Linked DNA regions of Arabidopsis thaliana. The protein of the gene in region 3 interacts with the protein of the main gene of each other region in a pairwise test. Each region holds a gene or a part of one and is shown on either strand. Other genes may lie near its edges.

Region 1 (3,267 bases), on a different chromosome or scaffold from region 3:
TCGTGAGTGTGGATTTGCATAAGATGATCAAGCTGTGTCCATTTTCTTGTTAACGTAGGTCTCTTATTGCAAAACCAATTTTTTCTTCTTCTTCTCTTCATGCTACGAGTCTTTTCTCTCTCGCTAAGGCTAATCTCCCTTTATTCTCTCACCATTCTTGTAAAAGCAAAGAACATGAGCATCAAGAAATTAAATTATTGAAGGTCCGACATGGAAGTGAAATTTGTAGAGTTGTAGTTAAACTTTGAAATACGAGGCCGAAATCAAACTAATCGTTGGAGTGACATAGAGTTGGGCTTCACTTTGGATCGATAATAGGCCAACTCATTTCAGTAGGAAGTACTTGGAGTGTTTTTCTTTTGTACTACACGCATGTACTACTTTTCTTTCATTTCACATCCAATAGAGTACTACTTTAACACACAAAGCTGAAAACTCCCAAAATTTGGTAGGATACAAGATTACAAAACAAAGAAAAAAAGGACGGACCAAAACTAATCGTGCACATAAAGATCTCAATGAATTTAATGAGTTAATTATTTTTATACGGTTCGATTTAAACCAAAAATCAAAAATGGCATCCTCAAAGAAAATTTTGCATGAATTAAAGACCAGTTTGGTTCAATGTTTTGTCATCAGTAACTACACAAACAAATACTTAAAATTTAATATATCTACAATAGTTTTTGTGTGTATTATTTGTTTCTAATTGACTTTTTTTACACCTGCCTAACAATCTCCCTTACACGTAATGAACTTCCAATTTACACGGAGAAACAACCACCCCTGTTGACACGTGTCATCACCACACCGACCGGCGGTGCATCACCCTTAGCTAATCCGGCTAACTCCAAACGTCGATGAGCAGACGGACGAGGAAGATTCTCCGGTACGATGGTCTCTAGCGAGTTCTCAAGCCAAGGCGGACACGTCCTCTTGTCACTCCACCTCCGCGGCGGCACCACACCCGCAGCCATCTCTTCTACCGGCGATTTCACAACCGCAGCTTCCACTGATGCAACATCATTGATCTGAATCCCGCCGATTACGACAGTTGCCGCCACCCCCAAGACAAAAGAACACTTGTTTTTCCGTGGCTCTGTCTCATTTTCTGTTCTCCTACTAAACAATAAAAGAACAAAGATCATTGATATGAAAAATTATCAGGTAAATAATAACTTTTCATGAATAGAAGAGATACCAAGAGATCTTTGACGTTGTCTTGAGCAGTGAAGCTAATGATTGTGCAGAATTTGAATCTAGGGGAGGAAGATTTAGACAGCAGCTTATTCTCCCTGCCATTGTTATTCCTCTGTTTTCGTTTCCTTCTTTTTCTTAAGAATCCACCTAGAACAAATTTTATTTTATTCCTTTCACCTCCAACATATATATAACTACTAACCCATTCTTACTTGGGTCACTCATTTTTTCTTACTATATATGTATCCTCAAATTATTACATTTCATATGCGCATGCAATACAAACCACATCTAAATTTTTCTTCCAATATGTTCTTTCTCTATACTTAACTAAAGCCCAAAGAATGAACTTAACCTAGAAAAGATGGACTTGACCCAATAGCATTGGTCCGTTGGAGATGTTAGGTCCATACTCCATACAAAGACAAATTGAACAAAAGTCGTGAATCTGTTTGCTACGTCTGAATAACAACGTACACGTATCACGCCTTGCGAACAAATTATTTGACAATGATGGCCAATTAGCATGTGTCATCACTTGTTACCACGTCAACAAGGTTCTTGTCGGTCCGTTTAATTAATAGTAACCATCGTTTTCAGGAAAAAAATCCACATAAAAAGTTTCTAATGGCGAAACAATATTCAAATATTTCCTAACAACTACCATGAGACTGATTCTTTTTCTCTTCCGAAAAATTAATGAGACTGAGTCCTAATTTTTCTTATAGTTAATTTGGTGACCATCAAAGAATGTAAAAGTATTTAGGAAACAGCACAAATAATCTGGCAATTACGGTCTACAACATGTTTATTTACTTATTTTTAAATTATAGAAAAATTTAATATTTTAATATCTTATATTTAATGCCCTAAATAACACTAAATCACACATATAAATAGCAGAGATATAAATATAGAAAAACATTCCAAGCATTTTTCAGTACTTAACATTTATACAGAAAAACAATTAAACATTTTTCAGCACTTAATAATTAACATATGTGAGAAATTCATAAACTCTATTAAATATTCATGAAAATAATGTATTTTTAATTTTATAAGTAATATCTCATGTGTCGACTTTTTTTATATAAAAAAGATGTAAAAAAGGTCCCAAGTTACTAAAATTCAATTTTGTCAACTTAACTCAAAATCTTTTTGCTATTAGTCTAAAATTTCAGATTTCCTTTCTTGCTATTTTTCAAAATACTATGTTTACTTCTCATATAAACTGTAAATATATCCCTTTTTTAATAAGAAAAAAAATCTCTCACTTCAAAAACAAAAAGGAAAAAAAAAAGCAAAGAGAAAAAGTAAATAATACGCCGACGTTTCGTGTTTATGTTAAGCTTCCTTTTTCCTTTTTCCTTTTTCTTTTTGCCTTTTAAATAACCGTCGGACTCATATTTCTCGCCTCCGCCGGCGAACAGTTTTATTATCTCTCTCTTTCTGCGTGTTCCAATTTCTTCCACAAAACCCTAATTTTCTCTTAAACCCTGAAATTCGTGTAACCTTTCAACAATCTCTTCAATTTTGTTTTCGATTCTGAATCCATTGTTTACGAATCTCTCATCTAAAGCTACATTCTTCGTTAAATCGTTTTTAATCGACTCGCTCACTCGTGAGTTGACTCGTCAGCTGTTTCCATAATTGCTTATTGAATTTTTATACGATGATGTTTCAATATGGAAGAAACTAGAGGAATTTCTGATCCAGAGAATGGGAGTTCGAGTTACGGCGGTAAACCGCCGAATCCACTCTCCTTCTCTTCTTCCTCCGCCGCTGCTGCCGTTTACAGGCAAACCTTCGACGGCGAGCGATCGTTGGCGCCGTGTAATAAGAGGTCACTGGTTCGACACTCATCTCTCGTAAGATTCGTTTCTCTTCAACTTGATTTGTGGATCAGTTAGGTTTATTTTGTGTATTGAATGATCAATTTAAGTTGAGGTTTTGTAATTATTGCTCTGCTTTTGGATTTGATCATTATTGGTTTCCTAATGTGTATAATTAAGGTAGAAAGTTTCTGTTTTTAATGTGTCATTATGAGATGTTTGAGGTTTTCTGATT
Region 2 (4,782 bases), on a different chromosome or scaffold from region 3:
GAGAAAAAGAAACAGATCCGATTGATATATCAGTACCTGGGAAGAATTTTCCGATAATACGAAGGATCTTACGGCCACGTTTGTCTCTGCCATGGATCTTGAAGATCTCAAGCTTCTCGATCAGCTGCTCTTGTTCAATCTCCGAAATCTGAGAACTCATCGTTTCTCTCTCTCTCTCTCTCTTTTTTGTTTCGTCGGTGAAATTCACAGTTGAATTATAGAAGAAGAAGGGAACAAAAATTGAGGCGAGTGAAGAAGAAGATGATGATCATTTTAAAAAGGGAAAGACAAAAAAATAAAAAAAATAGTGTATTAATTGGAGGGTAATGGGAGAAACGACGGGCTCTTACGAATATTCTATAGCATCTTCCTTTTTATCATGATCTTCCTCACCTCTTTGTGGGTCCTACATTCCAATAATTATTACCTTTTTCGCCCTCTCTTGATCTTTCGTTGTTAAGCAACTAATCTGGTCCATCCGTTTTTGCTACATCTAACGGCTACTGCCTTTTTTGACTCTTTTCCCGCCCCCCGCCTTAAGCGTTACGTCTCATCACATGATTCATGTAGATTATTGGATAAGATGGGCGTTATTTTGGATCATCCCATCCGATGTTGAGTTAAACTAATCTGAGCTTACAAATTATTAAAGATTATAAAGATCTCTATGTTCATATCTATCCAATGCCCAATGGAATCTTTTAAAAAATATAAGGAAAAACATTATCTTCTGCATATTAAACGGATAATAACAGCGAAACTTGTGGATGGATCATTACAATAGAAAAATACCGAGGAGGCACATTCAAGGAAGGTATTCAATAGGGCACCAAATATTGTAAACGTAATTCTCTAAGTTTCCCATACATCATATATCTGCTACTACTCTACACGCATATATATACAAAATACATGTGTGACTCTCTTATATAGACCATACTTTTAGACATTATACTTACATAAAGCCAGTACTAGATGGCTGTAGATTCTCGAATTAATAGTACCCTAACATTCTTTGGAAGAACCTATGAATCTTTCAATTATAAAATAGTGATGCTCTGGTGTAGGCTAAGTGATACAGATGAAGTTGTAACCTCCTATGGCAACAATAAGCACTTTCATTACTTGAATTTGTATAGAACACCCTATAGCTATCAGGAGGATCAAGTAAACAACATTTACGGATTCACCTTAATATTTTCTGCACCAATACAAAATTTACTGAAGTTGATTGGTCTCATTTGCCTGATCAAGGCTGAATCCAGTCATCTCCGCTAGTTCAGCGAGTTCTATTTCTCCGCTTAAGACCTAATTTATAAAAGAGGTGAAATAGGTACTGACATGTGATGAAATGTACAAGGGGTTCAGAGGATTTACTCACCTTATCATTTATTATCCATGTTGGGAATCCTTCGATCGCAGCATCTGCACATGCCTTGAGTATCTTAGTTCCTTTCTTATATCCATCCGGAAAACATTCCACGTAGTTCAGTTCTTTTGCCGCTTCTCTTCCAAACATCTGTAGATGGATGGAACTATAATGAACATATAATAAAAGCATAAAACTGATTCTTGGCAAACAGGTGATGAATGAACTAACTACCTCTTTTTGCTCTAAGCAGTGAGAACACCAGAATGCCCCATACATTTTAGCTCCAATGGAGTTTAGATGTTTTGCTAAAGCAATAGCATAAGGGCTCGATGATGAACTGATCTCTGTTCTAAAATATGGCAGTTCAATGTCACCAGAGCTGGAAGGAGTGAAACAAAAAACGATCGGGATTAAAAGAGACCACCTGATAAGACTCATACATCTTTCGGAAGCTATTTGTTCACTACTCGTTACAAATGACTAAAATTTCTATCGGGACTCCCCAAAGAAAACTATGAACTTTGATTACCGTGAAGGGATTGGTTGAGCAGTACTGTAAGAAGCAGTCAAGGAGGCAACTACTATGATTGCTAAGCATATCTGCAATCCTACAACTTGCTGTATTTCTTGCAACTTCACATCCTACCACATGCATGGAGCACATTATCATAATCCGAAGTTTAGAAGTTATCTTGAGTCAACATCAGGAAAAAAAAAGAAATGGAAATAAAGGGATACCTTTACAGAGAGGAAAAATAGACTAAATGATAAGAAAGCAGACACCAGACAATACAGGCATGATGATCCTGAGAGTTTTGTGCTAAGGATATACAGGAAATATGCACTAGCAGATGCCATTGCAGTCGTGATCCCAAATAACGCGAAACGCCCATTGCTCTTACTGATTCCAAAAGGTAGATTCCCTTCCCCAAGCTCTGCACTTAGAGCGGTTACTACGCCATACATAACAAATCCAATCACTGGAAGAGGAACACCTGGCAAAATGTAAAAAAGGATTTTCATTGAGTTCAACTTACCTGCAATGCAATGTTGGACAAACAACGAAGACAAAGCACTACATAGAGTGGAGTGAAGCATGCTATTTAACTCTAACAATTCTATGCATACTAAGTACCAAAGCTCCTAAATGATATAGCTTCAAGCAAAGATTCACAGAGACTATCACATGCGAGTATTTAATCATGCCTACTATAAAAGAGAGGACAATTAGCTACATAAATCAAACGCTATAATCAATAAAGCGATGGATAATACCGAAAACGACGGCATAATCGCTGTTGAGGACATCACCGCAAGTGCCACCACCAATAGGGCAAAACGCATCGGAGCCAGTGACCTTGAGGTAAGTCAAATACGCAGTGTCTAACATCCCAATACCGCCGATTCCGGTGTACCAGTTGTATGTCGAACTGTTACTAGTAGATACTTCACTTGTAGACGATGAGGAGGAGGAAGACAGCGACGGTGCCGAATCCTCACCGTTTTCCGGCTCAGATGAAGAACATTTAATCGGAATCGCAGGAAATCTCCGATCAGAGACCTAATTCAGAACATCTGACTTCAAATGACCGATCACACACTACTGTCACTGAAGAAAACACATGACAAGAATTTACCTCGAATCGTCTAGGATAAGAAGTTACCGACGGAGGAGAAACCTCACGGAAGCCGAAATGAAACTGACAAGACGACACAGAAACAAACCTCGCCATCATCGTCGTCGAAGAATCGCTATTCCACCATTGTTAACTTCATCATCTTCTCTCCTCCGCTCCACTATCTCAGCCACTTGTTTCAATATTGGGCCTAAACGAGGCCCAAATACGATAATTTGGATCCATAATTAGTTTATCACAATTGGGCCTTACGGTCTTCTTATCCGTCCGAGTCAGCAAGTTATCCTCTTCAACACGACTCACGAGGCACCGAGTTGGACTTATCATGATTCATTATCTACGCATTGTTTACATTTTGGAATCGACTTTGGTACATAATTGAATTTATCCATAGAAATGATAGAGACTCGAAGATCGGACATAAAACTTGCTGACGTGACACCCATACCTTTGTGTCTGTATGTATTATATAAACGCTATAGAACTAAGAGAAGAAGTATCTAAGTAGCATCAAAGCATTCTAAAAGAAGTTTCAAAGAAGAAGTGAAAATGGAAACCACTGCTTTTAACACAACATCACGAATTGGAAACTGGTCATCGGCTATTTCTCCACCTCTACAAACATGTGGATCTTTCAAGTGCCAATTACCAACACGAAGAGGTGTTATTGTAGCTGATCTTCGAAACTCAAACTTCCGATGGTAAGCTAGCAATCAACGACGAGAATCGCCTTCTCTATCTGATTTTAGATTATGAATAAATATTAAATCTGAGTATTAACTTCTTGCTCAAGGAGGAAAGCAACGACAACAAGCAGAGGAAATGTTGCAGCAGAGGCAGTTAAAATTCCTACGTCAGTACCAGTAAGAGTGGCGCGTGAGCTAGCTCAAGCAGGATACCGCTATCTCGACGTGAGGACACCAGACGAATTCAGCATCGGACATCCGACTAGAGCCATCAACGTACCTTACATGTACAGAGTCGGATCAGGTTTTCATCACCGACCTTAAGGTTCCTCTTATGAGAAAGAGTGAAAATGAAAAACAACTTAAAACTAACACCAAGCCAAAACCGTTGCAGGAATGGTTAAGAACCCGAGTTTTCTAAGACAGGTCTCGTCCCACTTCAGGAAACACGATGAAATCATAATCGTAAGTTTCAGTTTTGACATTCAGAGACTAAATAAACCCCTATGAAGACAATCCCTTGTTTCACAAAATCTCTGATGCACGTAATAAACTACTTCTGCAGGGTTGTGAGAGCGGTCAAATGTCATTTATGGCCTCAACTGATCTTCTCACTGCTGTATGTGTGTAATATCACTTCAATTTATATAGCCGTTATCCGGTTTAGGACAAGCGGGTTTAATGTCGCCACATGTACAGGGCTTCACGGCGATCACAGACATTGCTGGAGGATACGTCGCTTGGACAGAGAATGAGCTGCCGGTAGAAGAGTGAAAACAATCATAGCCATATCACCTCCTGTAATTATCAATAAATTCTGTAGATGTTCTCAACGCAAGTATCAATCATCATTATTATTCTCTAAAACATAGTTTAACTGTCAAATCTATATTGGGTGAAAGCTTTACCGAACTTCGAACACCACAAAGTTTACGGACCAATTAAGGACGGGGATGCATGCCTACACACGTTTAGTTTTCGCCGTTTTAAAATTTTAATACTTAAACTAATTTTTAAATGATAATAGTGAAATTAACATTATTTTAGTTAAAAATTATTAATTACTTTCTTAAAATTTAAGTTTTAA
Region 3 (4,332 bases):
TTAAAACATTATTTCCACTTGCTACTCGCCACCCGATGCATCTAACTAATTTCTTATAAAATACTATATCACAGGAGTACCATGCAATCCAGTCATGTATATTTTTGTTGTTACTGTCAAATGGAGGTTTATCTATTTATAAAAAGATGAAGAAAAAAGGAACTTATACAAGAAAGCCCATCATATTGGGGACTGATAACATGTTTTAAGGCCCAAACATTGGATAATATAGTGTAGGAAAAATACACAAAGGGTTGGGTTGAAGGGAGACAAAAACAAACAAACAACGGCTAGTTCTTTCTATTATTACCATTTGAGATCATAAGTTTTGAACAGTTCTTAGTCTTTTTTAACCGACAATTAGAGGTTCTTAAGGATGTGCATTTCCTATTTTTCTTTGACTTGGTTCGAAGTGGACTAAATTTGGTGATAAATAACTGTACCAATCTATATATACAACAAATTCGATTTGGTTATAGTTCTGATAAATGCTAACTTAGCCTAGTTTATTGAGTTTAAACAAGTAGTACGATATATAAACTCATCTTCACCTTTACAAAGAGACTCACCTCAACTGCTTAACATGTGCTTCACAACTTTCCAATAGACTCTTAAGTCTTAACCAAACCAGATTTAGTCGATAACAAACAATTTTTATGCTTTTCTCATCATAGACCGTAAGGTTAAAATCGGTACTGTTTTTACGATGAAGGACATGGATATACAGAAAATTCAAGATCTTAGGCATGTGCATTTTATATAAGAGAGATAAACGAAGAAAGCATCAAAAGATGTTATCATTATCATCAAACACAATCAACGGAAAATATAATAACATGATCACTCAAGTTGACCATACCACACCCCTTGGATCTTCACATCCTTTGGTACCTTAGCACCCAAGTCAGTATCCGACGGCTGAAGACTCTCGAACACTCCGATCACCTCTCCTGTCTCCGGCTTGCTCTTTGTCACTTTCAGAGTGATCTCTCCCACTGAAGCGGCAGTGTTCTTCACGTTCTCCTTTACAAGCTCCTCCTCGTCTCCTCTGCCTCCAGCTGGCAATGCCACGGCGTTGTCATATCCTGTGGATCCACCACGGCCCTTTGGGTCCAAGAAGGAAGAGCCACGGTACGATGGAACCAAGAATTTTCCGGTGAAGCTGTCTGGTTTGCCTGAGGCGTCAAGCTGTTTGACTGTGAAAAGGAATGGCACACGTTCACCTCCTGGAAGTTGGACTGTGACTGCAGCATAGTCGATTCCATCTTCTTCCTTGAAATTGACGCTTCCGTCTGAAGCAACCTGCTCATTAAAGAGACGATCAATCACAAACCCTAACCCTAAGCAGAGTTTTTTCTTGCAGTCTAAGCAAAGACGCGAAATCGAACCTCGAAGGGTCCTTCGATCTCGTCAAGGGTGTAGGTAAGACGGGTCATGAGCTTTGTGTTCTGGAACTCTGGAGGAGCGTTCTTGCTTACACTGTCTGCCTTGACGGTGAAGGAAGTAGGCTCGAAGCAGAACTTCTTTCCTGCATACTTTCCGGGTTTGAACGAGAAAGTCTCAGAGCCACCGTCAATAGTAGGGCACTGGTTAGCCGTTCCAGTTCCTTTCACTTCCATGTATGTCTTGCTCTGAATCTCATCATAGGTCAATCTCTTTGGAGCTCCCTCCGCACTTGCTCCCTTTCATTACACGAGAAACAAGCAACTTTAAATCAAACTCACTGATCCAAGAAGATTGTATCTACATGAATCGAAGATTACAGAATTGGAATAGCGGTTTCTCCTTCTATTATACTATCCGAGTCTGTTATTGGTTTAGGTGTTCTCAAGTGCCAACTTCGATACATAGTAATGCAAATCATAAACATGTTATCACAAACACAACAAAATACTCTTCTTCTCTGTTACTCAATTCTCCTTTTTTTTCTTGATTAATCTATAGTTTTAAAGGAGAGTCGGAGATTAAAGAAAGTTACCGAGACGACGAGAGCAGAGGTGGCAAGAGCGAATCCGGCGATTTTGACAGCGTCGGAGCATTTACCGGTGAAGTCCTTAAAGTCAGACTGGAAGGAGCAAGTGAGGCGAGCCGAGGAAGTTTCGAGCCCAAAAGATTTGCCGACGGCTTGAGTCGATCGGAGGTGAGAACTTCCGCGAGAAGGAGCGGTGGCGATCTTCGCCGACTGGAGGAATGTAGCGGTGGATTGGAGAGAGGCTGCCATGGCCACAAAGTCTCTCTTGAGTTTTTTTTTTGGTGATCCAAAGCTGTGAGCAAAGTAAAGACTAAAGAGTAATAATCAAAAGGGCTGAGATAAGATTGGGATAAGGCAACGATTTTGATTGGTTTGTTTCGTGGGAATCGGAGTGTCTGGTTTTTTTTGTTGCCACGTGTCGAAATCTGAAGTGGAGATATGGATACTGTCTCAGTCAGGGGTGCTGACCTGTATAATAGTATAAAATAATCAAAAATTGTTATGTTGTAAAAACATTAAAGGTGGCCCATGCAGGTTTCGAACCTGCGACCTTCGCGTTATTAGCACGACGCTCTAACCAACTGAGCTAATGGGCCTTGGATGCTAACACTTAAATGTAAAATTTAATTTTCAATTAATTTTCTTTTTTAAGGCTTTCAAGTAGTAGATGCAAAGAAGGCCCGGCCCACTAGGTTTTTGTCCAATGTCCAATTGATCTTCAACAACATTTTTCTTTTATGGATGCTGTTCTAAGTATACAGATAGAAATCATATAAATTTTTTCTGATTTGGTCCTGATAAATTAAAAATCTTAATCGATCCTTTAGAGCCTGAATCAGAATGTACGTCCCTCTCAGAAATTAACTCATCATATGTAAGAATGCCAATACTAGAGGTTTTGCTTCAACTTCAGGACTAGGATGCAGGGAATTATCCAAAACCACATTGAGCACAGTCTGCTTTCCAGTATACAGTTTGAAATTACAAGTTATGGTTTCTCCTTGAAGGCCTTATGTTATATGAACTTGGCATCTTTGCTGTTATTTTTTAATATCAAGAAATAGTTATGATTTCATAAACTTATTTTTTTTGTTAGTTCAATTGGTTTATCACTTGGTCTTAGCAGATTGTGTTATATTATTAGAGTATCTGTAGATTCACTTGAAATGTAGTGTTCCCTAGAGTCAATATAATTGAATCCGAATTTAGTGACTACTAATGCAATGATATCTGTGACTGAAAATTAAGAGCAAGAGAAGGCACTCAGAATGAGTAGGAGGTATAGATTCATCAATAAGAATCAGATGACAATAAAACAATCCTCATCATGCCTTTCTTCTTCCTGCTAAGTCTAATTAAAACAAAACTAATTGAACAAAAAGGATTCCTCTCAGACAAATGCCTCGTTTGTCCCCATGATTTAATGAATGGATTTCATCGGACTCGTCATCTATTGTTCCTTCATCACTGAGAAATCCCCTTTATACACGTTCCTAAAACCTAGATATTTTAGAATGCTAAAACGAAGAAAAATAATCCTCTCAGACAAATGCCTCGTTTGTCCCCACGATTTTATGAATGGATTTCATCGGACTCGTCATCTATTGTTTCTTCATCACTGAGAATATTTTTCCTTCTCTAAAAAAATCTAAATTATTTTCTAAAAACACAAAATCGAGTCGATCAAAGATTAATATGCCGATTCAAACACATATTGGAAAATCAGAGAGTATCAACTGATTCAAACGAAATTAAACGAATAACCCTAATAAGATGGGATGACAAAGAACTAAATCTACGGAAAACGAGGAAATTTACAGAGACTTAGGTTTGATTCGGTACTCGGATTGTGCTAATGGCTTCTTCTCAGCCAAAGCCGGTTGATTTATATAGTAGAACTAAAGTAGGGTTTAGGTTTTTAGGAACTCTCCTTTATAAAACGACATGAAGTCCTACTACCGATTCTGAACAGCGAGTAGTTCGTCCCTCTTTTCCTACGTTAAAACGGCGCACATTCCACAAATATGAAACAATTTCTCTCCAAAACAGTGCCCAGTTTACGATAGATAAGGGCAACTGAAGCCCATTGTTACGGCCCATTCGGAGGAAGTCGAGAAAAGGGCTCAATTCGAAACGTTTAACGATGGGCTTTGTGCCGTATGTCATTTCTGGTTTTACTAATTCGAGTACAAGACTCAAAACGATGCACATTTGTGTAGAGCAGTCGCATAGCAAGAATCTCGAAGGATTAACAAAAACTAAAATCCAAGAATCACAACAATATGCTTTCTGATTCTGTACTAAAAAGAGTAAAATCAATCGAAAACAATTCAAGACCGTCGTGATCTATGATCAACCAT

What was found.
Region 1: the proteins of PSBO1 (region 3) and AT2G25625 interact in a protein complementation assay, tested with the Arabidopsis thaliana proteins (one study listed by BioGRID).
Region 2: the proteins of PSBO1 (region 3) and LTO1 interact in a two-hybrid assay, tested with the Arabidopsis thaliana proteins (one study listed by BioGRID).

The regions. Positions count from the first base shown.
Region 1 is NC_003071.7:10,904,597-10,907,863, reverse strand, and holds AT2G25625 (histone deacetylase-like protein), read right to left. Parts: upstream 1,650-3,267; 5' UTR 1,303-1,649; coding exon 1,202-1,302; intron 1,123-1,201; coding exon 765-1,122; 3' UTR 514-764; downstream 1-513. Other genes in the region: DBP1 (DNA-binding protein phosphatase 1), read left to right, coding at 2,886-3,068. UniProt on the Arabidopsis thaliana protein: Triggers stress-induced chloroplast degradation, independently of autophagy and senescence-associated vacuoles.
Region 2 is NC_003075.7:16,941,515-16,946,296, forward strand, and holds LTO1 (NAD(P)H dehydrogenase (quinone)s), read right to left. Parts: upstream 3,164-4,782; 5' UTR 3,109-3,163; coding exon 3,010-3,108; intron 2,934-3,009; coding exon 2,648-2,933; intron 2,368-2,647; coding exon 2,111-2,367; intron 2,015-2,110; coding exon 1,902-2,014; intron 1,752-1,901; coding exon 1,604-1,751; intron 1,520-1,603; coding exon 1,280-1,519; coding exon of another isoform or gene 1,219-1,279; 3' UTR 517-1,218; downstream 1-516. Other genes in the region: AT4G35750 (SEC14 cytosolic factor family protein / phosphoglyceride transfer family protein), read right to left, coding at 37-160; SEN1 (Rhodanese/Cell cycle control phosphatase superfamily protein), read left to right, coding at 3,559-3,710, 3,803-3,999, 4,090-4,160, 4,261-4,314, 4,395-4,469. UniProt on the Arabidopsis thaliana protein: Thiol-disulfide oxidoreductase catalyzing disulfide bond formation of chloroplast proteins and involved in redox regulation and photosynthetic electron transport.
Region 3 is NC_003076.8:26,566,633-26,570,964, reverse strand, and holds PSBO1 (PS II oxygen-evolving complex 1), read right to left. Parts: upstream 2,394-4,332; 5' UTR 2,222-2,393; coding exon 1,979-2,221; intron 1,683-1,978; coding exon 1,389-1,682; intron 1,303-1,388; coding exon 841-1,302; 3' UTR 504-840; downstream 1-503. Other genes in the region: AT5G66560 (Phototropic-responsive NPH3 family protein), read right to left, coding at 4,303-4,332.